Linked DNA regions of Arabidopsis thaliana. The protein of the gene in region 1 interacts with the protein of each later gene in a pairwise test. Each region holds a gene or a part of one and is shown in the gene's direction. Other genes may lie near its edges.

Region 1 (11,510 bases):
CAATAAAGACTGAACGAATACCTTTCCCATTATCCTGAGTTAAAAGTTCATTTTGCTGCTCGGGCTTCCTCTTATGTTTCTCCAGTATGGCTTCCATTCGCTTCCTGCTCTCTTCCTTGATTCTATTTAGTAATTCTTCTTCTTCTTCCTCAGGAGATTTCCATGTAAGTCCTTCGTCATTATCATCTTGACCATCCTCATTTCGGGACCTGACCGCAAAATAGTTACGAGCCACACAAGATACCCAAAAGATTTCTGATCTACAACAAAACATTAACAAGGATGAGGTTATTGAAAAATTACCTTTCATCATTGGCCCACGTTTCTTCTAACTTATCACCCTTAGAATTATGGGCCTTCAAAGAATTTGGCTTTCTCATTTCTAGGTCATCTACCGCATCATATCTTGTGTTTCTAGACTGTTTGTGCCTCATCTCACCGTAGTCCACATCACTACTTATGTACTTCTCCCTATCTTTCTGGGTTTCTCTTCCTCTCTCCCAATCTTTTTCACCCTCCCTTTCCTTTTCTCTCTTCCTCTCTCTGCTGTTATACCTGGTTCTATCTCTACTCCTACCTCTCTCATTGGCTCTATCCCGTAAATAATCTCCTTCCCTCTCCTTTCTCCTATCCCTATCAATGCTGCGCTCTCGTTCCTTCTCTTTTCGTCTTTCACGGTCAGACTCTATCTCCCTTCTCTTCTCTCGTTCTCTTTCCCTCCTCCGATCACTATCTTTATCTCTCCGCTTACTTCCTTCCGAATCCCTATCTCTTATGCTTCCCTCCCTGTCCATATCTCTCTCCTTACTTCTATCTCTTTCCAAGACTTCTCGACTATATTGCCTGTCATTTTCCTCATATCGCCCACGTCGATGATATCTTTCCTCAGTCCTAACTGAGTCAACTCTGTCATGATGATAATCCCTACTAGAATCATGATGTCTTCCTCTGTCCGAAAACTCATCCTCCGCAAACCTTGACCTAGAAGTTTCTCTCTCCCGATCATGTGACTTAGATCTACTCCGGGCACGGCCTTCGTTAGACTGCCTGCTGTTTGACGGAGAAAACGAACTTCTGCCATTATCATAACTTAATTTACTAACTCTCTCTGAAGGACCTCCAGCTTCTTTATCCCACCTCTTATCCTCCCTTTCAGATTCACGAGTTAGAACACCATTAGAACTCTTTTCTTCTCCTTGACGCCCTTTTTCCCCAAGTGGAGGCTGAAAGCATCGCAAAAGATATTCAGAATACTTACCAGAAGAGAAATACATGACACTAAAAACGCAAGAACATACAATTAAAAAAAAGGGAAAAAGAACATCTACATAAAACCAGTTCTTACAAATCAAGCGAAAGCCATCAGTCTCCATTGAACGCCTAGTGCAACACTCAGGTTATCTAAAGAAAACTCTCAAAAGACCAAAGCTTTATCATTAATTCAGGCGTAAATGCTGTTTGTAATATGAAAAAATCAATCAAACCCAAATCCACCCCTCTGATCCCACAATCCAAACAGAATTTAGGAAGAAAAAGACGTATTAGAGGGATTAGAACAGACCAGATTATTATCTTCAAATTTGATTTCGCCTGATTCGCCGTCGGAATCTGCCGTCTTCATCAAAACATCACCAATCCCATCTTCTTCTAAAATCTCTCCTTCCTCCACATCCTCCTCCTCACAGCCGTTACTAACAACAATTGGAGCCGCCGGAGTAACATCCAATATCTCTGTCTCATCGCCGGCGGATGGAATTTCATTTTCGCGCTTCTTATCTCGGTGATGGCGATGCCTGTGGTGATGATGCTTGTGATGACGATGCTTGTGTCGTTTCGATGCTTTTTCAGTGTCATCGGACGACGAAGATGAACGGTGATGCTTGCGGTGGTGAGATTCGATCTGCTTATCGTTCGCCATCAGAGAGTATCGTCGTAATCGAAATTAGGGTTAAGGCTCAAGAAATTTTGGTATAGAATCGCGACCAGAATTGCTTGTAACATCTTTTTAAAGGGATTTTATGTAAATAAGGCAAACGTGGCATATGTGTATTATTTTATTTAAGGCAACAAAATTGAATTAGATCATAGAGGTTGATCATTATTATTTCTTTAACAAATGATTAAAACATTTTTACATATATAGATAAAAAAGGTTTTGTGAAATTGGTATAAAAAACAATTTTGAGATATGACTCCATATTACTAGTGTTAAATTTGATATGCCATATTTTAAAATTTAAATCTTGAAACTCCTACATAGAAAATCAGGAAGAAATATATATTTTTGGTATGGTAGAAATCAGGAAGACATTTATATACAATTTTTTCAATAAATTAATTTTCTTTTGTAATTGTAATAATTTATTTCAAAATCTTTTAAAAATGAGTTTGGCCCCTTTAATCATGTGTTAGGCTAATGTGGTCATGTTCCATTAACTCTAGAATTACTAATGACGAGTCATAGACAAAATTTTAGACTTCAGGGTTCTTCGTTTGGTCAAGAGTCAAACATTATGTATACAAAAAGAATGGATCATTGTTGGACACAATCGTTGCACCACATTGTCAGTTTGTCACTAACAGAATCCGCATCAAGCTTTAAAATGAATTTCTCATAACATACACGCCAATATTTATTTTTCATTAGTTTTATGGTTCTTCGATTTCTTCTTCAGAACTATCATCTTCAATTTCCTTTTCGGAATCATCTTCGAGTTCATCTTCAAGCTCTTCTTTGGGTTCAGCTTCGAATTCTTTTCCATCCCACACGTCATCTTTCATCGCACATTTTAAATGAAATGCAAGACTAGGACAACGCAAGCATGTAAAAGCTCCATGGGAGCAACTAATCTTTTGTCGGCAGATTCCACATTTCCAATCTCCGAGACCAAGATGAAAAATGCGAGAAATGCGATGATCATGGCAGTTGATGCTTATAACTCGTGGTAGATATATACAATCCTTGTGGAACATCAAATTACATTCAAGACATACATAAGGATTACGCTTACCTTCTACGCTACATGCATTACAAGTAAATGTGACCACTCTCGGCAAAAGAGTAAGCATATGCATATGGTTTTTTGGGTGATAAATACTTGATGGTGGTGGATCTTTAAGACATTTGAGATCCATGTTGATGTTGCATATCAAACAATGAAAAAAATCATCAAGAAGATAATCTCTACAAAAATGACAATGGTCACCTGCATAGCCCAATGCCTCGAGTGTGTAGATTTTGAGAGAATGTTTGCATGGAGATGGATGCAGAAGTGAGCGCTTGATGCATTCCTTATGCCCCCAAAAATAGCACTTATCGCAGAAATAGCCAAAACCACCTTTCTTTTTGCACAAAATGCAAGAAAATCTGTCCAATTTCTCATATGCTAAAGGATGATCGTGAAAAGGAAACTTCTTTTCGGTCATGGTGAGTGTGTGGGGATTGGGTGAATCTAGAAAGCATAAATTTCAATCAAAAAAAGAAAAGAAAAGAAAGAAGAAAGCTTCACTTGAATATTTCTCTTGTAAGGCCTCTTCATTAGTGATCCTCATTGTCATTGATAGTCGTAGGCATTTTTGTTGTTCACTTGTGTTGTTGAAGTCTTCCCCTCCATTTAAAAATATGAGTAAAATTGGGCTGTTATTTTAGTTGTGGTAACCAACTCACATTTAGAATTTCAGAAAGCTAAGATTTCAATAATGATGTGTATTGTAAAAGGTTTATATACTCGGCTCTCCCAAATGTTCTAAACAATAGTTTGGGTTTCGTTTTTCCCAATTACCAAACAAAATTTTAGATATATGTCCATTTCGGAACGAGACCTTGTCTTTACCGTATTCGTCTCGGGTTTCTAGTCCCATATCCGCTCGTATAATTAATTGTTTTGAGACAATGTAATGCATTGAATATATATCAACTTTTATATATACTAGGTGATCATCCGCACTGCGCTACAGAGTTTTCTATATATTTGTACATACAAACAAACGTGTTGGTCATTATATGCCATTGTTTCTTCTAATAGTTCTCACAAATGTTTAGGCATTGGAGGATAGAAGAACAAACGAATTAGAGATATCTAACACAACAATGGTGTGGTCATCTGATCAGGTTGATTAGAATATTCATGTGGCTGTTCATACGGTAGCTCGTGCTCGCTTCCTTCTTCTCCTCCATGGCCATTGGTGAGATCTTCAACTTCGAGAATCTCAACCCTCCGTTTCATCTTCCTTTGCAGTTTTAATGCAACATCGGATGGTCGAAACCGTCCGCAAAGGATTACTTGACGTTCCTTTTTGTTGATCATGTGTGTATCAACTTCTTCATAAAAAAGTATCCAAAACATGTGTTAGTATTGAATTTTCTATAAATCCACCACGACTAAACCTACATAAAATGGTGCATATAGTAACATCGATAAAATTTAACGATGTCTTTCTAAAATTTTCAGATTTTCCACTCAAAAAATCCTCCTTGAACTTTAAATCTTATTTTCATAACATCCTTCTTTGCTCATTTCATCCACATATTATTTTATATAACCAATATAAACCAACCTTTCATATTGATGATAATCCTCCTAGCTTTTCTACAACAAGCATTGCAATCCAAGTTAATCCTCATCACAACACAACATTGCTTCTGCATTTCACCACCCCAAAAAAAAAAAAAATTATCACAAATCCAAGAAAATTATTGTTCAAACAAATAAAAGAAAACACAAAACCTTTTCCGACATGAGACGAAAGAGCAATATTGTATGATATGTTTTTGGTTAAGAAAACAAAAGTATACTTATAAATTAAGATTTTGGAATCTGATTCTCTAACTTAGGTAGAGCAGAGAAGATATATAAGAAAACTGGTTTTGTTATGTTACCTAATATCCATTGAGAAGCATCTAAATTTTCTTTGTTTCTAGATGGTTTAACCTAAACCGAAGTTTCAGATAAATTAATCCGGTTTAATTATATATCCGGTTATTAAACTGGTAACTGATACAAATGTAGGCGAAGACGCTCAACGAACTTCAACCTCGTCTTCTCCGTCCACTTCACTCTCTCTAAACTCTCTCTCAGATCTCTCTCTCTCTGTGATTCAACAATGGCGGTTTCTTCTTCTTCGTTTCTATCGACAGCTTCACTAACCAATTCCAAATCCAACATTTCATTCGCTTCCTCAGTATCCCCATCCCTCCGCAGCGTCGTTTTCCGCTCCACGACTCCGGCGACTTCTCACCGTCGTTCAATGACGGTCCGATCTAAGATTCGTGAAATTTTCATGCCGGCGTTATCATCAACCATGACGGAAGGCAAAATCGTGTCATGGATCAAAACAGAAGGCGAGAAACTCGCCAAGGGAGAGAGTGTTGTGGTTGTTGAATCTGATAAAGCCGATATGGATGTAGAAACGTTTTACGATGGTTATCTTGCTGCGATTGTCGTCGGAGAAGGTGAAACAGCTCCGGTTGGTGCTGCGATTGGATTGTTAGCTGAGACTGAAGCTGAGATCGAAGAAGCTAAGAGTAAAGCCGCTTCGAAATCTTCTTCTTCTGTGGCTGAGGCTGTCGTTCCATCTCCTCCTCCGGTTACTTCTTCTCCTGCTCCGGCGATTGCTCAACCGGCTCCGGTGACGGCAGTATCAGATGGTCCGAGGAAGACTGTTGCGACGCCGTATGCTAAGAAGCTTGCTAAACAACACAAGGTTGATATTGAATCCGTTGCTGGAACTGGACCATTCGGTAGGATTACGGCTTCTGATGTGGAGACGGCGGCTGGAATTGCTCCGTCCAAATCCTCCATCGCACCACCGCCTCCTCCTCCACCTCCGGTGACGGCTAAAGCAACCACCACTAATTTGCCTCCTCTGTTACCTGATTCAAGCATTGTTCCTTTCACAGCAATGCAATCTGCAGTATCTAAGAACATGATTGAGAGTCTCTCTGTTCCTACATTCCGTGTTGGTTATCCTGTGAACACTGACGCTCTTGATGCACTTTACGAGAAGGTGAAATTGAATTGAATGAAACAGATGAAGCTGATGTTGTATTGAATGATGAAGCTGATGTTAAATCACTGCTTTTGTTTACAGGTGAAGCCAAAGGGTGTAACAATGACAGCTTTATTAGCTAAAGCTGCAGGGATGGCCTTGGCTCAGCATCCTGTGGTGAACGCTAGCTGCAAAGACGGGAAGAGTTTTAGTTACAATAGTAGCATTAACATTGCAGTGGCGGTTGCTATCAATGGTGGCCTGATTACGCCTGTTCTACAAGATGCAGATAAGGTAAGCATAAGCAATAAAGTTGTAGAAAATAGCTAGCGTGTGAGTGAATTAACACACACACTTGGTATTATTAGGCTGGTTTCTTTAACTGAATGTGTGAGTCGTGTTGGTTGTTTTGATAGTTGGATTTGTACTTGTTATCTCAAAAATGGAAAGAGCTGGTGGGGAAAGCTAGAAGCAAGCAACTTCAACCCCATGAATACAACTCTGGTACTATTCTTAACGAATTGTTTAGATGACAAACATGTGAAGTGTGTTTAAGGATTTTGATTTAAGGGATATATCTATGGAATGCAGGAACTTTTACTTTATCGAATCTCGGTATGTTTGGAGTGGATAGATTTGACGCTATTCTTCCGCCAGGACAGGTATATGAAAGAAACTTTCATTGCCTCTTCTATGAATAGTGATTACAAGGAATTTACTTAATTGTTATACTCAAATCTCTAGGGTGCTATTATGGCTGTTGGAGCGTCAAAGCCAACTGTAGTTGCTGATAAGGATGGATTCTTCAGTGTAAAAAACACAATGCTGGTAAGTTTTATTTTGACTTAATAAACTTCCTGATGGGTTTGGTGAATCACTTCGACTTAGAAAGTTTAAAATACGATTAGCTATAGCTTTTGGCTATGCTAACAGTAACATTGTCGCTTTGTTGTTATGTTGGCAGGTGAATGTGACTGCAGATCATCGCATTGTGTATGGAGCTGACTTGGCTGCTTTTCTCCAAACCTTTGCAAAGATCATTGAGAATCCAGATAGTTTGACCTTATAAGACGCCAAGCGAAGACGAGAAGTCAAAAACAGTTTCCAAAATTCCTGAGCCAAATTTTTCCCAAGTAAATTTTTTAATCTTCATTGTTCTTGGTCTTGCTCTACTTCTTTTGCATCTTTTTCTTCACTTGTGTTGTATCTGTATTTTTGTTTTCAAGAATCATCATTTTGGGTTTTAAACAAATAATTTCCTATCCAGAATCAGCCCACCGGCCTTAAGAAAAGAGAGTTACTAGACACGGCCTATTATCTGAGGGCATATCTGTTGTGTCTGTATTTTTTTTGGGCACGGCCTTAAAGATTGTGCCCAAGCCAAGCAATCTATTGCTTAGATCTCAATTTACTTAGTAGAACGAACATTATTTGGATTTGAAAATTAGACATATATCAATTAGGGCTGAAATCCAACATACCACAAGCCCAATTCTTGTAAAGAACTAAAGAAGGACTAATCAGAGATTGAATTACCATTGTTGTTTCAAAACTCAACTTGTTTGGGTGAATATCCCTTTTTCATTTCGTGTTTTAAATTTTTACTAACCATTTTATTATTTATTTTGTTGTATACAATATGATTTAAATCATGTTTAAATTTTTTTTTTTTAACATCAATCATGTTTAAATTTATTGTATTTTTGGAAAGGAATAAGTTAGCAAAAACTTTTAGTAAATATATATATATGGATTGCAATGGTGGAAGTCTAGAACCTTTTTGTAATCAACAATAATTTCAGATTCTGATATGAAAATCTTTTTAATAATTCTGATCTCTGGAATACCGAATACATCCATGATCATATAAGATTGTAACATTAACACAAAAGCTAACGAAATGATAAAGGCGATTAAAGATTAACAGTTCCTGAAGAGAAAAAAGTTCTTACAAACTAATCTAAACCACTTACTCCTACTAAAAACATTTTGATTTTTCTAATCCTAATAACTTAACAAAATATATAGATCCTAATACCTATTATCCAATAATAGAGGGAAAAAAAAGAAAAAAGAAAAAGCGAGGCAAAACGCTTAACAAAACGTCACCGTTCGTAGCCCGCTTTTTTAAAAAGGTCCGGTATGTTGTTACTCCGCCGGTAAAAACTCCGGCCGCCATGAAAACAAATCGCCGGAATCTAAACACCCATCGAAATATTCGAAAAGCCCATCATCACCAAGATCGCAAGGTCCGAACTCCGTAACATGATCCTCAAACCCACATAACTCTCCAACCTCTGATGAATCCGACGAGGCTCGTACCAATTCCGTCACCGTTTCCTCACACGACGGAGGAAGAAGCGTTTGCGGTGGCGTAAGCGGCGGTGGCAAACCCAGCTCGTCATCAGAAGCTTCGAAAAGGTATCCAAGATCCGGCTGAGTTTCACCGGAGCTTAGCGCCGCCGTCGTTGTCGATAACTCATTCTCGAAACTCTTCATCACCGAGTCAAGATCTTGACTCACTGGGTCAAGCCCCGAGTCATCGAACAAATCATCTCTTAACCGCTTCACGTCCGGCGAGTCGAGGTCTAACCCGTCTCTGACTCGTTTATTCCCGACAGAGTCAGTCCGAGTTAGCCTCTCCTCCAATAAATCCTCCATAGCTGAACCGGTGGTACGGGTTATCGCTTTGGTTAAGATGGTACGGTTTTAATGAGTGGCAATACTGTAATTAAGCGTGAGATATGGGTACAGAATCGGAAGAAGGGGAAACACGAGATTTTATAGTGGAGAGAAGATATAAAGAGAAGCAGATATAAAAGTCGGTAACGAAAGAGAAAGCGAGTGATTTCAGACGCAGACTTTGGCGCGTGTATAACGAATAGTTTGGGCATCACAGATCTTTCACTTTTTTTTTTCCTAGTTCTTTTTTTTTCTGGTTTTTATTTTTATTTGGTTTTATATTTTTTGGGATTTCAAATGTCGTTTTCTAATTTCTGAACGTTATTATTAATTGGTTTAAAATTCGGTACGTACGTTGCAGGACACATGCTCGGTCAGTTAGGTTTTTTGTGTTCATCAAAAAAGTTGTATAATTAAAAACAAAAGTGTTGTATAATTAGAGAGTACAAGACGTTACGTTGTTGTTGCCTTACCCAAAAAAAAAAAAAAAAAGACGTTACTTTAAAATCCAAATTACAGCATTTAAAATCATTACCAAACACATCTAAATGGTTTTGTTTTTGTTTTGTTTTAAATCAAGCCGACAACAAATAAGTGAAATATACATAACCAAAAATATGTATTAAAAAAAAAGAGAGTAGAAGACGTTACATTGTTATTTGTAACAATATTACAAGGCATATAAGGAAGAAAGAATAAAAAGAAGGAAACGTTACGATAATAGAAATCTTGAGGATGAGTGAAAACAAAGAACATGTAGAATTTTGTACAACACATCACGTGAGTACATAAAGCAAAATCAAGTACACAAAACTTCCCACCATAAATTACGCCGGCCCACCATTCTTAAGTATCATTGCCAAATCTAATTGATTATAGAACAAATGTTATTTATTTCGATTAAAGACAGATTTTATAATTCCCTAGCACTAAAGGTTTTTCTATTGAGACATCATGTTATTTTATCTTTCTTTTTTTGTTAAATGGAAAATTTATTTAATCTGGAAAAAATAAATACGTATCTGATAGTGAAAAGGTACGTATAGCTAATCATAACTGGGACTTGGGACTGTCGAGCAAAGTGATCAGTTAGCCATATGAAAAATGAGTATTCAGATGTTGCATTGGTGAACTAGACATTCTTATACCAATCTTTATGTGGTTGAGCTATGAGAACCATGGATGGAGAAGCTATATATGTACATGTAAAAATCAACAAAAAAAAAAAAAACTCGTGGAAATTATTAATGAGACCGGGACCATGCGTGAAGAAACTATACATAGAAGCTATGTACAATTCTGACTTTATTTAAATTCTTACCGCAATTTCTTTCTTTACATGTCTATCAATTTGTGGATTGTACATAACACGAAAATATGAAATTAATAGATAAGTCTGCGTTTTTATTTATCAATTATATTATTGGTTAGGCAGGCGGTAGAAGCTAAGTTAGCTAACTATAGTCTTTAAATATATGCGAAAAGTTATGTGGTTAAAATATCAGAAATTCGAACAATAAAAATACAAAATTAGTTAGGTGTTCTTAAACAAGTTAAAGACTAATAAATCATTTGAAATGTGAATTTTCGTCAAATTGGTATTGAATGGAGATTTTGTTAGAAATGGGAAGAAACAAAAACAAAAAAATGGTATAGTTCTGATAGAACGAGTTTTGTAATGTTCTAATTAAAGAATTGAGAGGCGATTCTGGTGCGCATCGCTTTCACGTCCTCTCGTCTTCACTTAGCGCCACGACGAAGCTTAAAGTTGTAGGTAGATCCCCATTAAAACTCGCAATTCCTAAAACAATTAATTTGATTAAATACTGTAGATTTGTCCCATAGCCAAAAAATTTGACGTACGACCTCACAATCTACAGAGTAATTTCATTAAAAATTTTATACACTTATAATTAATATTTCCCAAAAATGTTCGCAACAATTAATTATCTTCGTTCAAATCTTTTTTTTTTCTTTCTTTTTGCTTCATTTTCGAACTCGTTTTCTTATCTTTGAATTTTAAATAGTACTACATGTCGTGGTTCGAACAATATATATATTTTTTTTTGTCGTAAATTTATATCTTTATAAAGATTTTCATATTTTTCGAGAACGAAATTTCCGGCCGACAGCGTGAGGGTTTGCTGTGGAGATAGTACGTGGACATGTGTAGAGAACATGACACGTGTCTATATTAGAACACTTTCCATCATCACATCTCAGCCGTCGATTAAGTTTTCTGCCAATTGAAGTCTTCATCGCAGTTGTCGTTCGATCAAAATAACAAATGGGTTAAATAGTGGTTGTTACATAAACTCATGATAGTATATGGTTATTAGACAGAAAAGATTATTACATATGTGAGAATACTTCAGAATAATGACGGCCAAAGTTAATCATCTCAAATTATAAGAATTTCGAAAAGCTACTCACTTCGTAAATCATTTAAATTCTGAATTACAGACGTCGGTAGGTCTTTAAAGAAATAAAACTGATAAATGGTTATAGGAATCGGTCATAAACTAAAAAGATCAACAAAATGTTCGTTCGTGTTTACTCGAATTTTCTTTAGCTTGTGAGCTTGATGCAGAACTATATATGTCGGTACTTACTAACCCTTGCATATTTGTTTACATGACTTGGATTATTAGGATCCAAACATATTTCGTATATAAAAAATTAATCTAAAACGCTCATTAAAGCTTTTAGTTTCTCTTTAATGGTTATATATCAATAGGCAATAAAAGTTTTAAATGTCCGTACACGTCACGTGATTCCGACATTACTAGATCATCGGTGGTTAGGTTGATAGTCGCTTTGTGAATTGTGGGTGCAACTAA
Region 2 (10,556 bases), 180 kb from region 1:
GTCTTGTGATCTATGGAAGGATGAGTACGAATAAGAGTGACAACATAAAAGACAGGAAGAAAAATAGTCCAAAAGTTCGAAAATTTAAAGAATCAGCTTGGAAGTGTATTTACTATCTATCAGCTGAGCTACTTGCTTTATCTGTCACATATAATGAACCTTGGTTTTCAAATACTCTCTACTTTTGGATTGGTCCTGGAGATCAGATTTGGCCTGATCAACCAATGAAGTAAGTTGTTTCGTTATGGTCATCGATATCTTTTGTGATGGTCATTTGCTAAAATATGATACTGCTATGTGTGCAGGATGAAGTTGAAGTTTTTATATATGTTTGCTGCTGGATTCTACACGTACTCTATATTCGCGTTGGTGTTTTGGGAAACAAGACGGTCTGATTTCGGAGTTTCCATGGGTCATCATATCACAACGCTTGTTCTCATTGTCCTCTCCTATATCTGCAGGTACGTATATTATACACTTGTGTTGTGGAGGAAAGGATACACTGACTCTTGTTTTGTTTTTGGATGTTGATGATATAGATTAACTCGTGCTGGTTCTGTTATTCTTGCACTTCATGATGCGAGCGATGTGTTCCTTGAAATTGGGAAAATGTCTAAATATTGCGGAGCGGAAAGTCTCGCGAGCATTTCGTTTGTTCTTTTCGCGCTGTCTTGGGTCGTTCTACGTCTCATTTACTATCCTTTTTGGATCCTGTGGAGCACGAGGTTTGTTTAATATCCACTTTAGCGTTTGTTCTTGAATGTTTTTTCCTTGATGTATATATATTGTGGGGTTTTGATTTGCAGCTATCAAATCATTATGACTGTGGACAAAGAAAAGCATCCTAATGGACCAATCTTGTACTATATGTTCAACACACTTTTGTATTTCTTGCTTGTTCTTCACATATTCTGGTGGGTTTTGATTTACCGGATGCTTGTGAAACAAGTGCAAGATCGAGGCAAGCTTAGCGAAGATGTTAGATCCGGTACGCAATAAAAACTCTTATTACAATATTTTGAGACAAAAACACTCTATTAATAATGTTCATGTCTTTTTGCAGATTCTGAAAGCGATGATGAACACGAGGATTAATCGCATGTTGGGAATATTAGTAGTGCACACGCTCTATATCTCATGAATCTGAACCACACGGAGACTAGGAATTTCAACATCAAGTAGGATGCATTGCAGTATTTGAACAGTTGGTTCATCATCTTCCAGAGGATCGTAACCGGATCAAACCGTTTTGAATGAATCGGTTTCTCAATCTGAATTTTTGAGTTTATTGTTTTCTCTAAAGTTTGAGCAAATTCAAGATTTTGATCAAACTGCTCCACGTTCTATTGTTTTTTCTTCTATAATTTTTAATTTACGCTTTTGCAATAACACAATTCCTTGTATCATTATACTAATGTCATCTCAAAATTAGCTCCCTTCAACATCTATGCAACAGACTAACAACTAAATGAATTTTCTTGGGGTTTTTTTTGGTTCATTGCATAATTTGATAAAATCCAATAAAATACTTGGAAAGGATAAAAGAAGAATAATTTTTCATAAATGAATGAAAAAAAAATCAGCATCTTTAGGCGCACAATAGTATCGCACGATAGCGACGCACAATAGTAGCGCACGATAGCGGCACATAATAGCGACACGCCTATGGGATTTGTTTGAGGTTTTAGCTTTCTCGCTGTCTTGGCCGAGAAGACTGAAACCAATTGCAACAAAAAGAAAGATAAAAAAAAACAAAAAATCTCTTCTTTGTTCATCATCATCGATCGATTCTACTGCAACAAGGTACGTCTTTTTCACTTCCTTCTCTGAACAAAACTCTAAATTTTGTTGCTTTTTTTTTTCCTGTGTCGTCTCGCGCTGCGATTCTTATACATCTTGGCTTCAAGTGATACTTTGCTTCCCAACTCTTGAAATGTATAAATTTTGAGACTTTACTGGAGATTTTGAGTTGGGATTGTTTTCATGTTCTTAAAGATTCGAGTTTCGATCTCTATATGATTCAGTAGATTGTAATTTTGAATCGGATGTCTGGAAAAGAATTGATTTTATAGTCTCTTAGGTTACTTTAAGTAGTACTTTGCATAAGATCTGTGATTTGATGATTGTTATCTTTTGTTACATTGCTGGTGGAGTATAATAAGATGAGCAAGAACCAACAGAAGTTTGCGTTTGATTTAGGTTATTTAGCAACTAGTCCTGTTTTGGTGTGTTTCTAATCTCACTCACTGGGTCTCTCTTATGTGGAATATAAGATATTTGATCCTACGACTGTTAGTGCTTTCATGCTGGGTTTATAATATGGATACAACTGAATTCCTGGCATTACATTTTTTGTTCAGAACCAATGAACTGTTTGTTTAGGTGTCATTGTTATCTAAGTGCTTGCATCCTTCTTCTGATGTGTGTGTGTCTTGATACAGGTCTGTGAGATTTTGATAAAAGCTAAGATATGGAAGATGTACTTACCGAGAATCCTCCACCTTCAAGATTCTTCCAAGAAGATCTTAACAACTTTGTTCAGCCACCTGAATCCCTTCCATCTCCTTTCATCATATTCTCAAACCCGAAACCTGAACTTCCTCTCCGACCATCTCTACTTATCATAGCCATATCTTCACCTTCCCTCTATATTTTCCATAGTTTACCTTCAAAGACTCTCCTTGGAAGTCTCATCATGCCTGAAGTTCCGTTTTCTGGAAACACCATGGAACCTTCTTTAGAAGACAAATCCTGCAACATATATTCCTTGAGTAGTGCTGATGATAAAAACTTGACCCTCCTCGTCTCTGTTCAGCTTCCTGTATCTCCTGAACGGTCTAACCTAGTCTCGAGATTGCTCATTGCCAAAGACATTATCCCCGAGCGGGTGATAATCTTGGATTCCATTCAGAGCCGTAACTTCAGAGGTAGACTCTCACCAGACGAAACATTGGCAGCCAAACTCGAGACATCTGCTGAGAAGAAAGCAACAACTCACACCGGTTTAGTGAATCTCGATTACTTCCCATCAGGGAGTGTAATCGACGGTCTGAGTGCTTCACTTTTGAGCCGGTGCCAGCTAAAGAACATAAGAGGAACATTGGTGATCTCATGGCCTGAGTTTGGTCCTTCAGTGATAAGATTCGCCGGAGCTCTGCTGAAGAAAATTGTCCCGAGTTTGGATGTTGCGAGTGTGAACAAAGATCTGGAGAAGAATTCTTCAAGAACTGGTCTTAAAAAGGATACTTGGCTTGACTCTGATCTATATACATGATTCAGAGACAGAGTAATGAAAGCTTCTCACTTGTTTCATGTTTCTATGCTTACTAGGAAAAAACAGAGACCTTATTTACGCTTGTGTTGTTCTCATTGCAAAAACAGTTTTGTTTCATTTCTACATTGTTCTTAGGTATGTGAGGACTTGTGATTTTTCTTAGTACACACAAATTATTGGGCTAACAACAATTTAGCGGAGTCGAACTCAAGTGAAAAATGTGGAACCACTTGACTGAAGACACTTCCCCGTTTTGGTTACAATCTTTGTAAAACGAAACGAATTTTCTTCATCCCAAAATAAGCCAACACATATCATGGGAAAGATTGCTTCGTCCTCTTCAGAGAGAGGAAGAAAAAGAAGAAGTGAATATCACGCAAGAGATATTGAAAGAGAAACCGAAAGAAGAAGACGAAGAAGAGAAGAAGAAGCAGGAGATGATCATGCATCATGGAAGAGAAAGCAAAAGAAGAAGAAGACAGGTTATTAAGATACCAAACGACGATGTGTTGGAAGAGATTATAGTAAGGCTTCCAGTGAAAACCCTAACTAGATTCCAAACCGTGTCTAAACACTGGAGGCATACGATAAAGTCTAGGTAAATCAGGAAGAAATACATGTTGCATCAGAAAACAAAAGAACCCAAATTTCTCTGTCTCTATGAAGTTAGAAGAAACGGGTCTAAGCCAAGCATTCGTTACAAGACCATGAGGTTGGAGTGGTCTTTGAGTCGTCTAGTGGGAGAAGAAGAATATTTAACTAGCAAGAAACACAAAGAGAGGCGGATACTATTTTCCAAGAGTGTGGATGGTCTTTTTTGTTTATATAGTGGTGTGGACATGAAACAGCCAATTATGGTGATAAATCCAGACACAAGATGGTCTAAGAAGCTCCCTCTTGCTAGGATTCAACGAAAGAATTATTTAGACAGCAACAAGGTAGAGTTCTCTCGCCTCGGGTTTGGAAAAGACAGCGTCACAGGAACATACAAACTAGTGTGGTTACGTACCAAAACAAAGAAGAAAATAAAAGAGGAAACCTCATCGACGATGACATGCGAGGTTTTCGATTTCGTTTCTACGAAATGGAGGCGGTGATTCCACCTCCTCCTAATCATGGGATAAAGCATGAGAATATGTCTTTCTGATACCAAAACCTGTACAAGATCACAGCATACAACAAAATACACAATCTTATATATGTTTTTTACAAACCCAAAGCCATTCATATAGTTTCTCTTGTCATCTTGGACCTGATAACTCCATGGCTTGAACCAGCACCGAGGAATCATCTGTAAGATCCGAATAACGTTCAGAGGAAGAAAACTCGTTAGGTTTACTGTAACTTCTATTGGTTTCTGCTCTCTGAGAAGAAGCTTCCCATTTCTCAACAAGACCATCGCCTTCAAGCATTCTCACAACTTCAGACATCTTAGGACGGTGAATGGGAAGATACTGTGTACAAAGCAAAGCCACTTGAACCATTTCTTCCACTTCTATTCTATCGTAGTTGCTCTTCAAATCCTTGTCTACTATCTGTTCTAGCTTCTTCTCTTGTTGTAGTTTCTTTACCTACAAGTAACCCCAAAGAAAAAACCCTAGAAGTGAGTATTTTTAAGCTAACTGAAACAAGAAGAGAAAATGTTTTACTCTTTTACTTCTTACCCAATCAAGTATCGCTCCTCTTTGGTTTGCTGCTTTTCCGAATTCAAGAGCTCTCAATCCAGTAATCAATTCGAGAAGAAGAATCCCGAAACCGAACACATCTGTCTTCTCAGAAGATTGTCCTGTTGAGAGATACTCAGGTGCAATGTGACCCACTGTTCCTCTCACGGCGGTTGTCACATGCGACTCCTCATGATCCAAAAGCTTAGCCAACCCGAAATCTCCGACAACAGCTTCAAAGTAATCGTCAAGAAGTATGTTCGCAGCTTTGACATCACGGTGAATGATCTTTGGATCACATTGCTCATGCAAATACAGCAACCCTCTTCCTGCTCCTAATGCTATTCGCTTTCTTGTGCCCCAATCCAATACCGGTTTAGCTGCAAACCATTCACACGAATCGTAAACCGGGTCAATTCATGTAAAGAAATCAAAATCAAGGTGTTTAATTAACTACCTTTGAGACGAGAAGCGACACTGCCATTGGACATGTAAGGATAAACGAGAAGCCGTTCAGAGGAAGTAGTACAGAAACCGTATAAGCGGAGGAGATTCCGGTGGACGGCAAGGCTTATCATTTCAAGCTCTGTCTGAAACTGAACCTCTCCACCACCATTGTTTATATCCTTTAATCTCTTCACCGCGATGATACTTCCATCATGAAGACAACCTTTATACACATTTCCAAACCCTCCTTTTCCGACCAGATTCTTGCTGCTGAAGTTACTAGTTGCGGATTGAAGTTCTTTGAAATTAAACCTCCTTAGATTCCCTAGACACATTTCTTCCTTGTTTTGCTCTGTGTAAGACCCAAAAATTCACACACTCACATTTGTCTGGTTTCACATTCAACAGTTAACGAAAAGGGATTAAAAATGTCATTGTGGGTCTTACCATTAATGTCAAAGAATAATACTTGTTTGTTATGTCTTCTTCTCCACCAAAGAAGAAAACCAAAGCCAATGATCAACAAGCAAACACATGTCAAGCTTACACCGAAGACTACCGCGATTTTCCGGTTTTTAGTTCCTCCATCAGATGATTTATCTAACAACAACAACAACAACAAGAAGAAAAGAAAAATCAGTTTAGATATATTCTCTAGGATTCAAATATTACTTTAAAATATTGAAAATTTAGATATTACTTTGAGAACTGTTCAAGGTGATTGACATTGGCTTAGGCTGAGTCCCATTACAGTCTTTCTCAGTTCCTGTTGGACAAATCTGAGAATTGCCCATAACACTGCATAACAAGTTAAATAAAAACTATATAATATAATTAGGGTAACGTATAAAAGTGGATAAATTACAGAGAAAAGAAAAACACAATTACACTGTTACTTTCTCAGAACAGAGTAAAACAGAGCAGACAAATATTCTTTCTCGTAAATAGACTTACTTGAATGTTTTGGCAAGTGATCTTGGAACTGGTCCACTCAAGTTATTATACGACAAATCCCTGAAAAACATTTACAAAATATATATAAACACAGATTTATATATGTAAAATATAATTTAAAGAAGAAAATAAAAGAAAGAGAATGTACAAAAAAGTGAGTTGGGTCATGTTTGCCAATGAGCTAGGAATTGTTCCTGTCAGGCTGTTATTATTAACCCTCCTGCTCCACAATTTTCAACACAAAAATAATCTCTCCATAAATAATTTATATAAAAAATATGATAAAATAAACAAAACGAAAAAATGGATAAAATCATACAAGTACTGAAGATTTTTGGAGTAAGAAAGAGTGAATGGGATTTGACCAGTGAAGTTATTGGTAGAGAGATCAAGTGTTTTGAGTTTCATCAATTTCCCAATCTCATGAGGGATGTTTCCTGTTATGTAATTGTTCTGCAATAACCTGTATCTCCAAACAAAATTATTAGAAAACTAAAGTGATTAAGAGATGAAGAAACAATGTTTTAATAATTACTACAAAACATACTTACACAGTTTGAAGATTTGTTAAATTTCCAATACTTGATGAAAGAGTTCCTGATAAGTTTTGGCTTGGAGCTTCTCTACATACACACAATAGTAAAAACTGTAAACACATGATTACATATATGTGTGTGTGTGTGTGTGTGTTGGTGTGTAAGTGCTTACAGCCTTATGACAAAACCATCAGAACAAGTGATCATGTTCCAGCTACATGGATCAACTGCTGTGTCATCCCAATTCATTAGAACTCCATGAGGATCAGTCAGTGAGCTTTTGATTCCTATTAAGGCAACAACTAAAGAAGAAACAAAAAAAGAAAAGCATGTTTTAGGAAGAAAAAAGGAGAAACTGAGAAGTGGGGGAAGATTTTGTTGATGAACATTACCTTCAAAGTTAACACCTTTGTCTGTGAGTTCTGCAGAAGAAGAAGAAAGAAAACAGATAAAGAAGAAGAAGAAAGTTGAAGAGAACAAAGCATAACTCTTTTTTGCTTCTCTTCTTCCTTGCAACATCTTTGTCCGAATCAAAACTTGTTTTTCTTGAGAGTATTAATCTCTAAGGTGCAGAGTTTGAGGTTTATTTCTTTTGTATAAGAAATATTCTTTTTTTCGATTCTTTGTTTGGAGGTTTTTAAGAAAAAGATGGAACAGAGGATTTTGATTTGGAAGTATTTGTGAGTGAGAGTTAAAGAGGGAAAGAGAAAGAGAAAGATTTGTCTGCCAATTATTTATCTAATGGTCCTCTAGACTGTAAACTGGAAAAGGCCAGAGACAAAATCGGGAAATGTTTAGTTTTCAATCATGTGATAAAAAAACAGAATTCTATAAGATTTTTATGGTTTATATACTTCGCGCACACAAAAAAAAAAACTTGATTTATATTAAGTTATCTACAAATATGGGTCCATTTATTTAATTTCGTCTCTCTTACCAGAATTCGACTTCGTTTTTTACATATATGAGAATAAATTATTGAAAAAAAACTATATTGTAGTGCTTAAAATTACAAAAATGCAAAGATGGTTTACTATACAATCGTAGACACAAAACAAAATTGGTGAAAAAAAAAAAGACACAAAACAAAATATATCTATATCATAAAAAATATACAAATGAGTTTAACAATGATGAAATATTACATATGTACGATTTTTTTGGTTTAATAAATAATTTTGTTTTCTTTTAAATCAACTCATTGGCAATCGACTGTTTTCAATTTCAATTATGTATATTTGCTTTGAAGAAAATGTATTTTTCTAGACAATCAACTGTTTTAGAAAAACTTAAGATTTAATATTGAAAATAAATAATTATGTGAAATGTTGTATTGAATGTTGCATAGTTATACTGGTACATGGACAATGGTGTGAGCTAGTGGATTTACCAGCCTTGCTCTTTAAAAAGGGATGATGCTACCAAATCGAATATGTACTAAAAACAAAAAATCAATTAATATGTTTTTTGGGTTATAAAATCAATAGATATGTTACTTACTCTTTAGACTTTTTTTTGAAGTAATGTATTTGGATTCGAAGACCTGGTTGTGTTCTAAGTCTAGAGGATTAATAGACTCAACCTGTTCTCGGATGTAGGAAAGCAACAAACGATAATCAATTAGACCTAAGATAAGCCTTCATAAAAAAAAATACATCATACTATTAATCAATTAGAGCAGGTGAAAAGTGAATTTATATGGTAAGCACTAAGCACCATTAATCTGTTATTAATAAAGCATTTATATTCCGGGAAGAATAACCAAGTGGCCTCGAAGTGATAAAGTGTGAAAATTATTGTGATGTAACGCAAAGTTAAATAAACTGTGAATTATAAAATTATAATAGTGGGACACTCGTTGTGTCGATGAGATATACTGTGAGTCTGTGACTTAGAACTTTTCTTTTTCTTTTTTAATGACTCCCTTTAACTCTGTTTTTATTCCCACTCATCACAGTTAATATATGTTAATATCTTCATAACTATTCATTAATTATATTAAGATATTTGATCCTTTTTCTATCTATGCTCTAAATTCGTGCTAAAATATGTTTTGTCAACCATTTGAAATTAAATATCGTTTATCAATGTTGTTTGTTGATAATATAACATGTGCTTTCGCCAAATGGATGGTTTTCTTTTCTTCCGAATGTGACAATGTCAATTGGATATTTTAAGCGGTGGAATATTAGATGGTACTTTAGAGGGTAGAATTAGAACTTGATAAGACGGAAAACATATGATCGAAATGAAGTTAAAATGAGAAAACTACAAAACTCGAAATTCCAAAAGAAGAAATAATGATTGAGAGCTTAACATTTGGTCTAAAATAAAAGAAAATTGTTAGAGAAAACAAAAGTTTGAAAAGAACTTACCAAATGTAGTACATAATAGTTATAGTTAAGTTGATCAAGAAATTAATAATGATGCGACTTAATGTTATAAAATAGTGATTTTCCCCCATTTTGTCTTTCGATTAACATATATGGAAATTTGATATTTTTTTCTACCATGTTGTTCCCAATCGGATGTGCGTATATTATTATTTTACATGAGTCTAGTACTTCATTACTTTACTACTGCACAATGAAAAAATGATTGATGAAGAAATTATTGGATCGAGCAACTGCTAAGCTTATATACAAACACAAAAATCAAATCTTTGTCTACGCAGTGATTAGTCAACAGACAAGCCACTTTTTAAACCACAAAAGCAAACTGCTTTATAAAGCAAAAGCTGTTCTCCTCTATCTTTCATCATTACTCTAATTTCTTAGTGCATTATCATTTATTTCATATACTACAATTTTATTTTGGTTTTTTTCGGGATAATGTCATGATTTGTATGTCGTGTGCATGGATACACGTGTGATACTAAGTATTAACATAACAAATTGCTTATTTCTTCTTCATCATCATCGTTTTCTTTGACCACGTCTCATGAATTTGCAACCGCATTGTAACTTTGTATGCATAATAATGAGATATCAAGATTGATTGTACTTGATATTAGTTTTGTTTGAAATCTCTGACAGTTAAAAAATAATAGTGACTGACTGATATTAATTATGATTCGTTGATTATTTTGTTATAATTATCTGCTCGTCTTTCGAATAAAACTGTATTAGTCCATGAAATAAATCATTAATGAAATTTTCCTCTATAAAAACAAATTAAAGGAAATATGAAATGGACTTATAAGCATCAAATATATGCATAAGAATGATAGCAACCGGAAAAAAAAAACTCTACATCAAAATCAGATTGCACATCTCTAGTTATGAACATATATAGCCACATCAAAATCTTACAATGTAAATGGTTAATAGTATAAAAATCATGTTATTGACTGTGTCATGTACATCTTATGTGTGTCCTAATTTTCTATCCAATTTAGATGAATTCTTTATGGTTTCATTTAGCACAATCAAAAGAAAAAACAGAATTCACGTATAAAAAGAAAAAGAGAAAAAGAAAAACAAAAGTGGGATTAATTAGCAGATCTCCCACTGATAAAAGTTCTATACCCTCAAATGAGTGGGAAATAATTATAATATAGTTTTTATAATTTTTGTGATTAACCTTGTTTTGTATAATTTAAAACCTATGTTTTTTCTTTGAAAAAAAGAGGTCATAATATTATTATTTTTGAAAAAAACCAGGGTCATAAGATTTGATTCA
Region 3 (10,521 bases), on another chromosome or scaffold:
CGTTTCTTGGAGTTTAACCAACTCCAGGACGGAGGACACCAGTTGAAACAAAGACGACAAGCATTGTTGCAGAGCCTTGCGGTTTCACTTCAGCTCGGTGATCCCCTCGCCAAGAATGGGCAAAGCCAGTCTCTTGATGATTTTCTCTTTCTAAGGGTTATCTCTCTTCCAAAGGGTCGAAAGCTACTTATAAGGTATCTTCAGCTAATTTTCCCTGGCAGCGACCTAATGCGGATAGTTTGCATGGCCATTTTCCGTCATTTAAGGTCATTGTTCGGAGTCCTTTCATCTGACCCCGATATCATCAAAACCACAAATAAGCTTGCAACAGTTATCAACTTGTGCATTCAAAACATGGAGTTAGGACCGGTAAGCACGTGTCTAGCAGCGGTGTCTTGTTCTTCTGAGCAGGCACCGCTCCGCCCCTTAGGCAGTCCTGTTGGAGACGGAGCTTCCACAGTATTGAAATCAATACTCGACAGAGCTTCCGAGCTTATCCGGGCTAATAATTTCAACAACGCAGGGATAGCTCTATGGCGCGCTTCCTTTAATGAGTTCTTTAATATGTTGATGAGGTACTGCATCAGCAAATACGATAGCATCATGCAGAGTTTGCAATTGCCACCGCATTTTGCCACTGAGATATCTGAAGAAGCTGCAAAAGCCATTGTCCGCGAAATGCCAATAGAGCTTCTACGTTCAAGTTTCCCACACATTGATGAGCAGCAAAAGAGGATACTGATGGAGTTTTTGAAACGATCTATGCTCGGAAGCCAGAAAACCGAGCCAGTATTAAGTTGATAGGATGAAGATTGAAACAGTAAAATCAAAGAAACTGTATGGTGAAGTCTGTATATGAAGGCATAAAGATCACGCAGATACCGCGGGAAGAAAGGTAGAGAGAATCGATTCAAACTATTTCTATTTGCATCAGAGAGTTAGGATTCTTCCTTCAAATGGACAATACTGGTTTTGTGTCTTATAGGTAAAAGCAGTGGAGAAGAAGTTTGGTCTCTGTACAGAGAAAAAAGTCTTTAGGTTTTGCAGAACTTATGAAGAGGTTTCAGGCATTTGTATTTCTGTCTTTTGTTTAGTTGATCTCATTGTCGTTTCGATATTTGTTTTTGAAACCTTGTTTATGTTTTTGATAAATTCTCTTTCCTTTTTTTTTCTTACTCTGTTTTACCAATAAACATTCTGAGTTATGCTTTGGTAATGATTACTCAATTTGTTCTTCGTACCATCTTCTCTCACAAGCTCGAGCATTCACGTTTCGGCTAAAAGAGTGGTGTACACGCGCATGTTTGGACGCGTTGATAACAGAGGCGGAGGAAAAAAGGAACCAAACCTTTCGGATCTAAAGAAGAACACAAGAATGAAAAATAATTAGATTGAATTTGATTTAGGATCAGAGAGTGGGAAAGTACATAATGATCCTTTTCTTTTCTGGGTTGTTCGTAAAACCCAAAACTTTCATTTCATCTCCTTCCTTTTTCTGATTGCTGTCCGATTTTAAGCCATGTCGACTCTACTGAACTCAGTCTTATCCATGGCGTCACCGGAATCATCGCCGAGAAAAGCCGTAGGTTTTGTTTCCCACATCCCTTCTGGTTTCCTTCATTTCTCCTCCGTCAGTAAAGGTGTTGCTAGGGTTTTAGCTTCGACCCAGATAACATTATCCCCTAAAGACTCCGCCTTTACCATTACTGGATCCAGTTGGAAACCCGATTTGGATTCCGGGTCGTTTTCTGATGACCCGAGAAGCGACGAGCCGAATTTGAGCGATAGTTTCTCTCATCTAGAAAGTTTAGTCACGGGAGGGCATAAACCCAATGTAGCTCATTCTACTCAGCTCTTGTACGATCTCTGCAAAGCCAATAGATTGAAGAAAGCCATTCGTGTGATTGAGCTTATGGTTAGCTCCGGGATTATACCCGATGCATCTGCTTACACGTATTTGGTTAATCAGCTTTGTAAAAGAGGTAACGTTGGTTATGCGATGCAGCTTGTTGAGAAAATGGAAGATCATGGTTATCCTTCTAATACCGTTACTTACAATGCCTTGGTTCGAGGTCTTTGTATGCTTGGTAGCTTAAATCAAAGCTTACAGTTTGTTGAGAGGTTGATGCAGAAAGGCTTAGCTCCAAATGCTTTCACTTATTCTTTCTTGCTTGAAGCAGCTTATAAAGAACGAGGAACCGACGAAGCTGTGAAGCTCTTAGATGAGATCATTGTGAAAGGCGGTGAACCCAATTTGGTTAGCTATAATGTGCTGTTGACTGGTTTCTGTAAAGAAGGGAGAACAGACGATGCCATGGCGCTGTTTAGGGAATTACCTGCAAAAGGGTTTAAGGCAAATGTTGTGAGCTATAACATTTTGTTGAGGTGTTTGTGCTGTGATGGGAGGTGGGAGGAAGCGAATTCGCTCTTGGCTGAGATGGACGGTGGAGATCGAGCTCCTTCAGTTGTTACCTATAACATATTGATCAATTCGTTAGCTTTTCATGGAAGAACAGAGCAGGCACTGCAGGTTTTAAAGGAGATGAGCAAAGGAAATCATCAGTTTAGAGTCACTGCCACGAGCTATAATCCGGTGATCGCCCGTCTGTGCAAGGAAGGAAAAGTTGATCTTGTTGTGAAATGTCTAGACGAGATGATATACCGGCGTTGTAAACCAAACGAAGGAACGTACAATGCAATAGGTTCGTTATGCGAGCATAACAGCAAGGTGCAGGAAGCGTTTTACATAATACAGAGCTTAAGCAACAAGCAGAAATGCTGCACGCATGATTTCTACAAAAGCGTAATCACGAGTCTCTGCAGGAAAGGTAACACCTTTGCAGCGTTCCAGCTCTTGTACGAGATGACTAGGTGCGGGTTTGATCCCGATGCGCACACCTACTCGGCTTTGATCAGAGGGCTGTGTCTGGAAGGGATGTTTACAGGAGCCATGGAGGTTTTGTCGATAATGGAAGAGAGTGAGAATTGTAAACCTACAGTGGATAACTTTAACGCCATGATCCTAGGGTTGTGCAAGATAAGGAGGACAGATTTGGCAATGGAGGTGTTTGAGATGATGGTTGAGAAGAAGAGAATGCCGAATGAGACAACATATGCGATACTCGTTGAAGGGATAGCTCATGAGGATGAATTGGAGCTGGCTAAAGAAGTTCTTGATGAGCTACGATTGCGTAAGGTTATAGGACAGAACGCAGTAGATAGGATTGTAATGCAGTTCAATTTAGATTGATGGGTAGGAGGCGAAGATAACGAACACCATGAGGCTTTTTTCTTTTCTATAAAACTTTTAGTATACAGTATTTTTTCACTGTTTGTATCATTTTTATGGAGACGATGATTCATGTAATCTTCAGGTTTAGAACAACAGATCAGAGATCAATAAGAATCAAGTAACACACACACATTGTGCCTAACATCTTAAAGATCCGATTGAAACAAATGGAGACAATGTGTAAATTCTAGCAGCGAATAGGTGTAGACGATGAAGTAAAGTCTGAAACTTTCTTTTTGATTAAAATCTTAAACAAGTCTGAAACATAAAAGGAAGCTTATAGTAAGAACAATGTTTGCAAGAGAGAAAGGGAGAGAAGCAAGAAACAGAGTCGCATTGTCTTCAAAGGCAAATTTACTTAGAACGCTGTCTCATCTTTCGTCTCTTCCTCTTAAGCCTCCTCATACGCTTCTTCTTCCACTGCAAAAGAAAAACAAAAACCATTCACTAAACCCAAACTAGGATCATATTGTATGGATCAGAATTGGCTTCTACTCACCCAAAAAAAAAAAAAAAAGAGGCAATGATCAACCATAAAATTTACATAGTAGGAGAGATCAAGATAGTGAAATTGAAATCGTAAATTCAACAATAACCCAAAACTTGATTAAAATCCCAACATTCTCTTCCATCAAGTACAAATCACACATAAAATGATATGATCAATATTAGGAGAGACCAACATTGTGAGATATAAAACTCAACTGTTACAAACCAGAGTATCTCATTTCATACCAAATCTTCCAGAAAACAGAGCTCTTATATCAAATCCCAAATTTAACAATAACCGAACTTTTGATGAAAATCCCAACATTCTCTTTCGGCAAGAGCAAAACCATGAGTAGAAATCACAATCCTAATCAATAAATTTCAATATCCTACAGGTCGTGCTACACTAAACCAAGGTTTCAATCTCACTCGACTGATTCTATAAACAGCAATTCACAAAATTCCCAATATACTTAAAGATCAACACACAACATTTTTGATAAAACCTACAGAAGCATAGCTAAAGTTGTAGATAAAAAACTGACCTTGGCTCTCATCTTGTCGCTCTGAATCGAATCGGAGAAATGAAGGCGTCGTTAAACATATATACACACACACACATTTGTAGAAAAGCCCTAAAATATCTGAATCGGAAATACATTAACTTCTCAGGGCTATTTGCGTCATTATCCACACAAGGCTCTTTTTCCTCTTGAAGAAAACCTTAAAAAACCAACAAACTTTAGGAGAGCCTCGCCGGGAAATGGAGCAGCTATCAGACTCGGACCACCGCGATTCTGCTGATGCAACTACTAGCTCATGTCAATCCACCACCGCAGAAGATGGTCAATGCGGCGGCGGCGGAGAAGCAATGGCTCGAGGCTTATCAGCGATGCTCGAGTCCGTCATTAAAGACTTTGACTCTAAAGCTCTTGACACGCTCAATAGCCAAGATGAACTCTCCGGTTCTCTCGATCGCCTTGTCCAAGGTACAATTTAACCTCTTCCCGAGATTCGTATTTAACTTAATTGGTGAAATCAATCGATTCACAAGCTTCGTCTCCGTATTTGTTAATTAGATTACGCACAAATCAATCCAATTGATCCGATTAAGTTTCTTAACCATTATATTGCCATTGGTCTAACAAAATTGCTTAAGAATTGATTCTTGTGAAATTTTTAGATTGGATAGTGTTTTGTTTTTTCACACAACAAAATTTGAATGTGATGGAAACACAGAGCTAGATCAATTACTGGAAAACGCTCCATTGCCATTCATTGTACAACACGCATCGAGAATTTCCAGCGTCAAACAAAGAGTTTCATCTCTGAATCTTGTTCTTAAATCTGTCCAACGACGTATCGATAACATCGATCACATGCTCTCTGCCAACACCACGCAAGGTTATAAATGCTTTTATCAAAACCAAATCCAAAATTTTATTAGTTTTGGGAATTTGTGAACTCACTACTTCGTCATCTATATATAGTGCATTATTATCTCACTTTGTTTTCACTGTAACACAGAGAAAGCATCCTCGGAAACTACATGATGACGAAACACTTACTCACTCTCTGTTACTCTGTCACTCTCATCTTCGGATTTGGGAGCAAACCCAAAGAGGTGAGTGTTTTTGTACAAGCGCAAGTGTTTTCTCATATTGTTGTGTTATTGGGCTTTTAAGTGGGCTTTTATTGGATCAGTTCGTTTCTAGTTTAGAATACCCAAGTTTCATTTTTTTATTTAGATTGTTTTATTATAATAGATAAGTAATTGTTATTTTGTATCGTTGCAAGCTCTAATTCGATGAACCACATGGTCCATCAATCAATCATGTAGAACAGAATTTTCAAGTGAATATGTCGGGTCGTTTTATTTTATTTTATTTCGTTTTGGTTGCATTGTTGCCTTGTTGGTAATAGGCTTTACAAAAATTAATATCTAATAATCATAAAATCTTGTCACGTGGGTCTACGACAAAATCGATAGGAGGATGCCCGTATATAACAGAGTCACGTGTCTTCTGCGCTGGGTCACGTGATTGAATGCCTATATAATTGGATCTCGTAGGCTTTTAGTTTTTAGATGTCCTAGTGCTCTCTCTGTAGACTACAAGCTTTTCATAAGGAGGAGACTACATGGGCCACAACTTTCTTTAGTTGATCGATAATTACTATCTTCCTTCTATAAAGAACCATGTTTTTTTCATTATTATGATTAAACTTTCTATTTATGTGAACGATGATGATGGGTGTGACTTGTAAGGGTGTTAATAGTTAATGATGATGCAGAAGAAAAGAGGTAAATTAAAACTATGGAAGACCGAGCCTCTGACCAAATATCTAATTGGTCCGTTTAGTGGGTACATCCATACAAACACAAAAACCTAAGCCCCATTTCGGGAACTCTTCTAAAGTATGTCTTAAACCCACAAAACTAGCTTACTTTTGCTCTTTTATTCGCTGCTTTTACAAATCATGAGCTGCAAAGTAATGACTAGTAAGTATCATAGATGTTACTTTCAAGACTATATACACTTTTTTTTTTCTCAAAATGGAATTTGATTAGAAAGCCTGTACCACAAATGCTGTTAGGGTATTTTAAGTAAGTGAGTGGAGGAGAAAGGGGACCAAAGAGAGAAGTACAACAGGAGGGATAGAGACAGGTGAAAGAAGCTTAGGGGGTCTTGTACTTGTACAATCTCTATTGCTGGTCCAATCTATCATTTTTTAATACGACTTAATAGTAGTCTTTGAACAGTTTGGTACCTTTCACGTACCATTATGATAATAAGGTCGTGAAATCCTGACACTTAAACATGTGATGATTCAAACCGAAGACCACCAATAGCTCCAACATTAATGGTTAAACGAACCTTCCTTGATTAACAAAACAACAACCAACGAATAAATAAACCGCAAAAAAAAAGAAAAAAAAAAAACTCAAAATAAAGAAAGAAAGAGAAAAGTGTGGTAAAGTCTCTGAAGACTGCATCATTTCCGAAACACAGAAAACGACAAAATAAACTATATAATAAAAAGATACATTAAAAATAAAATCACATGAAAGAGACAGCTTAGATAAGCTTCAACGTGGGGAGAGCGCAAATACACGCAGAAGAAGAGCATATGATAGAGAGCAAAAGAATCTGTTTCCTATGTTCTGACCCACGCGCATCCCTTTAGCGCGTCTACCTCACTCTCTCTATGTGTCTCTCTCAACCCAAGCACAAGCAAAAACACACAATTTAGGAGTCTCCATTTCCAATTTTGTGTCTCTATCTATGTCAATGAACCCTAGAATTACACTTCACCAATGGCAGATTCTTTATTTACACACCCAGGACAATTCTAATACCTTATAAAAAAAAAGCTCTGTTAAAAATAAGATTTGTTGTAAACAAACCAAAAAACAGAATGATTACTACTAGAGTACTAGCTAGCTACTGTTGAATCAATACAGTGTTGTTGTTACCATTGATGGTTCCTTCATTTATAATAGTCGGGTTAGATTCGATCCGTGGAGTTACGGCCTCTACTGATGTGACACGACGCTCTATTATTGTTGTTGTTCCCTGTTCTATTGTTCTGCGACGAAGATGAAGATGACGAGGAAGAGAAAAACTGACCAAAGACTACTGAACCACCTCTGATTGAGCAAACGGGAACGTTCAAAACTGGAGTAACCCTAACGTTTGAGCTATACGATCTCTCCATTCCTCTGTGTCTATACCCGCTTGTTCCACCATTGAAGCTACTCGGACTGCTTGAGCTTCGTTCTAGATTCTGGAACACGATTTTACCTGAAGAGTTTAGTCTTGGACTGTCTACAGAGACTCCTCTGTTCATTATGGCTGATGTTTCTCCACCGGAACGTCGCATCGGACTGCGTCCAACTCTTCCTCCTCCGGTTCCTGATGTTGAATGGTTCACTAACCTCATTCTCGGTGGATTTGGGTTTAGGCTACGAGCCGGAGCAAATGGATTCGCAGTGAGATTGTGGTTGAGGTTAATGATGTGGTTTTGGTTAGGTCTCTCTGCATCGAGAGAGAGTCTTGGAAGATCTTCGTGGTCATGGCCAGAGGAGGAAGAGGAGAGAGACATACGAGAAGAGGATATAGAGACAGATTCGGAATCGGAATCTTTGAGGAGAGGAAGACTCATGAGTAACGAAGCATCTGAAGAGGACGACGAGGACCTGGAGCTCCGATGCAAGAACTGTTTCAACGACGAAGTTGACGATCTCGGATTCGTCGTCGTCGTCGTCGCAGTCGACGCGGATTTGCTGCTATTCTGAGAGAATCGTTTGAGTCCTAACAAGTCCCTCCATCTACTTGAACACCGTGGCGCCTTTGGAGAAAACGAGCAATTATCGCCACCCCCGGAGATCTCAATCTCCACGACTTCCATCCTCCTGCATTTCCCGCCGATCTCCGTCGTCTGTTGTTGTTGCTGCTTCGTCACGAGTTTACCGTCGGAGAAAAGCTCATCGGCTGGGAGCATTCCGACTGGATCCTCCTCTAACCTAAACTCGAAATCACCAGCTCCGACTGCTGTTTCCTCCTTCGGAATCTCCGATGCGACGGATCCAGAACTCCGACCACCGTCGTCACGGCTGAAAGAAGCTCGTGGATTGAAACATCCGTAAGTAGGAAAATCCTGAGAAACAGTAACATTGTTGACGCAAACAGAAGCCATCACCGGCGTTCATGCAACAAACTTATCGCCGTCGGGAGAAAATCAACGGCCAGATCCAAACGAGAGAGAGAGAGAAGAAAGAGAGAGGTTTATGGATGAGTGACAATGGTTTGTTTGGAGCGTTGTGAGTTTGTTTTGGAGAGTAGGGGCCACGAATGCCATCCACAGTTATTATAAACGACCCAGGTGGCGCGTGCTTCTCACCGCACTAGTGGGGGCATTCACGGTATTTGTTCTGTTGGAGCCAATGGCGGAGCCTCTCGGATCAACGGCTAATTCACAGATTAGTAACTTTTTAATTAACTTAATTGTCTTTCTTTAATGGAAACTATTATTATCTAACTCTGGAATATTCCAAAAAGTTTACCTTATAAATTTGGGAGACAAAACCTTTAAAAATATTTGTTCATGAATCATACTAATACAGAAGGAAAAAAGTTGGAGGTTGGTAATCATTAATGATTAATATATAGGTCACGTGATATAAGGGGTTATTTTGATTATCAATAAATAAGGTCATCGAACAGCTAGCGATAAGCTGTGTTGATCAAGAGTATGGATAAGCGGCCACGGGATGATAAGCGGGAAAAGTGACTATTCGCTGAGAATTTATGTGTTTTGATCGGAGAAATTAGACAACTCGTAATCTCAAAAGTTTTCATTAAGATAACAGCATTCATTTCTATGGTTTTGAGATCAATCTGATTTCAAAAGACAATCTTCTACACTGTCTTTAATGTCCTTTCGAGTTAGGGATTGCTATCTCTGTATGTATAATCAAGTGGTGCAGTGCGTGTGTGTTTGTCTCTCTTTATCTGGTGTTGTATCCATTTTAGGATGGACTGTAGGCTAAATCTGAATTGAATCAATGTCCTTTTGTTTGCAGATATAATCCATTGCACATGCACACATCACCAGTTGTTTTTCCTTGTTGTATCAAGCACATGATACTTAAAGGGAATAACATGAAAGGTACATAGTTTGTCTCATCACTTTCTCAGTTTCCGATTCATGTATCTTTCATTCGTTCCTCTTTTGATGTAGCCAATTTCAATGCTCTATTGATTTGCATTATCATCCAACTTTTACAAAAAAAATAAGGATGAGTTGAGAGTACAATGAAGTTGTGCCGATCCAAAGGAACTAGTCATGAAATGATGATGGTGAATAGCTAAATGATTCATTGTTGTTGCATGTACAAATGATCCCAACAACGTTATTAATAAGTTTATAACTGCAGGATTGTGAAAATCTTAATAAGCATCAAAATCTATTAGGCTCATAGTATAGTAGCAAAGCTTGTTGTTTAAGAGTAAGTTTCAAAATTATGCTGGAATATAGTTTGAATAACTTCATTGGCATGTGGTTTTCAGAGTGAAGAAGAATGATGGAGTAGTTTCGGAGAAGATGGAGGACTTTTGGGGTTGCATTGTCATGGAATATGATTCAAGCAATTGCAGGAGATGATCAAAAGTCTTTGAGCTTTGGTCCTTGCTTCACCAAGAACAAGACTTTTTTTAGTTTTCTTCAAAAGCTTAGCAAAAGTCAAAAACCTAAGCTGATTTTGTGTGTTTTTAATCTCATATTCATTGCATATTTTTTGTTATGGATGGAATATTTTAGTTAGCTGATAATATTAACCAAATATAATAATTATTTTAAATATCGAAAATTATATGAGGTTCTTGTTGTTGTTGTTGGTCTTTTCGACTTTCTGCTTAAACCCAGAAAAATGGATTCACAGCTAGTCTTGTCTCTGAAGCTGAATCCAAGCTTCACTCCTCTTTCTCCTCTCTTCCCTTTCACTCCATGTTCTTCTTTTTCGCCGTCGCTCCGGTTTTCTTCTTGCTACTCCCGCCGCCTCTATTCTCCGGTTACCGTCTACGCCGCGAAGAAACTCTCCCACAAAATCAGTTCTGAATTCGATGACAGAATCAACGGCGCTCTCTCTCCCGACGCTGATTCCCGCTTCCTCGACCGCGTAAGTTCTTCTTAATCCCTCTCTCTTTCATTCACTGTACCTGTGTCTCTCATAGCTCATT

The links.
Region 2: the proteins of LTA2 (region 1) and AT3G25545 interact in a two-hybrid assay, tested with the Arabidopsis thaliana proteins (one large-scale study listed by BioGRID).
Region 3: the proteins of LTA2 (region 1) and AT1G79070 interact in a two-hybrid assay, tested with the Arabidopsis thaliana proteins (one large-scale study listed by BioGRID).

What each region holds. Positions count from the first base shown.
Region 1 is NC_003074.8:9,455,529-9,467,038, forward strand, and holds LTA2 (2-oxoacid dehydrogenases acyltransferase family protein), read left to right. Parts: upstream 1-4,904; 5' UTR 4,905-5,103; coding exon 5,104-6,006; intron 6,007-6,090; coding exon 6,091-6,282; intron 6,283-6,404; coding exon 6,405-6,492; intron 6,493-6,579; coding exon 6,580-6,650; intron 6,651-6,732; coding exon 6,733-6,816; intron 6,817-6,952; coding exon 6,953-7,057; 3' UTR 7,058-7,485; downstream 7,486-11,510. Other genes in the region: AT3G25840 (Protein kinase superfamily protein), read right to left, coding at 22-209, 304-1,223, 1,562-1,918; AT3G25850 (Cysteine/Histidine-rich C1 domain family protein), read right to left, coding at 2,650-3,426; AT3G25855 (Copper transport protein family), read right to left, coding at 4,080-4,321, 4,558-4,642, 4,728-4,739; AT3G25870 (uncharacterized protein), read right to left, coding at 8,137-8,649. UniProt on the Arabidopsis thaliana protein: The pyruvate dehydrogenase complex catalyzes the overall conversion of pyruvate to acetyl-CoA and CO(2).
Region 2 is NC_003074.8:9,275,167-9,285,722, forward strand, and holds AT3G25545 (trigger factor), read left to right. Parts: upstream 1-1,678; 5' UTR 1,679-1,803; intron 1,804-2,441; 5' UTR 2,442-2,470; coding exon 2,471-3,274; 3' UTR 3,275-3,525; downstream 3,526-10,556. Other genes in the region: TRAM, LAG1 and CLN8 (TLC) lipid-sensing domain containing protein, read left to right, coding at 1-229, 306-461, 540-725, 807-988, 1,064-1,095; AT3G25550 (F-box family protein), read left to right, coding at 3,712-3,872, 3,948-4,269, 4,365-4,421; NIK2 (NSP-interacting kinase 2), read right to left, coding at 4,384-4,430, 4,527-4,845, 4,939-5,318, 5,396-5,737, 5,833-5,985, 6,086-6,183, 6,340-6,399, 6,488-6,559 and 4 more.
Region 3 is NC_003070.9:29,739,831-29,750,351, reverse strand, and holds AT1G79070 (SNARE-associated protein-like protein), read left to right. Parts: upstream 1-4,536; 5' UTR 4,537-4,544; coding exon 4,545-4,770; intron 4,771-5,020; coding exon 5,021-5,185; intron 5,186-5,308; coding exon 5,309-5,334; 3' UTR 5,335-6,081; downstream 6,082-10,521. Other genes in the region: AT1G79090 (topoisomerase II-associated protein), read left to right, coding at 1-801; AT1G79080 (Pentatricopeptide repeat (PPR) superfamily protein), read left to right, coding at 1,520-3,250; AT1G79060 (TPRXL), read right to left, coding at 7,289-8,479; RECA1 (recA DNA recombination family protein), read left to right, coding at 10,212-10,460.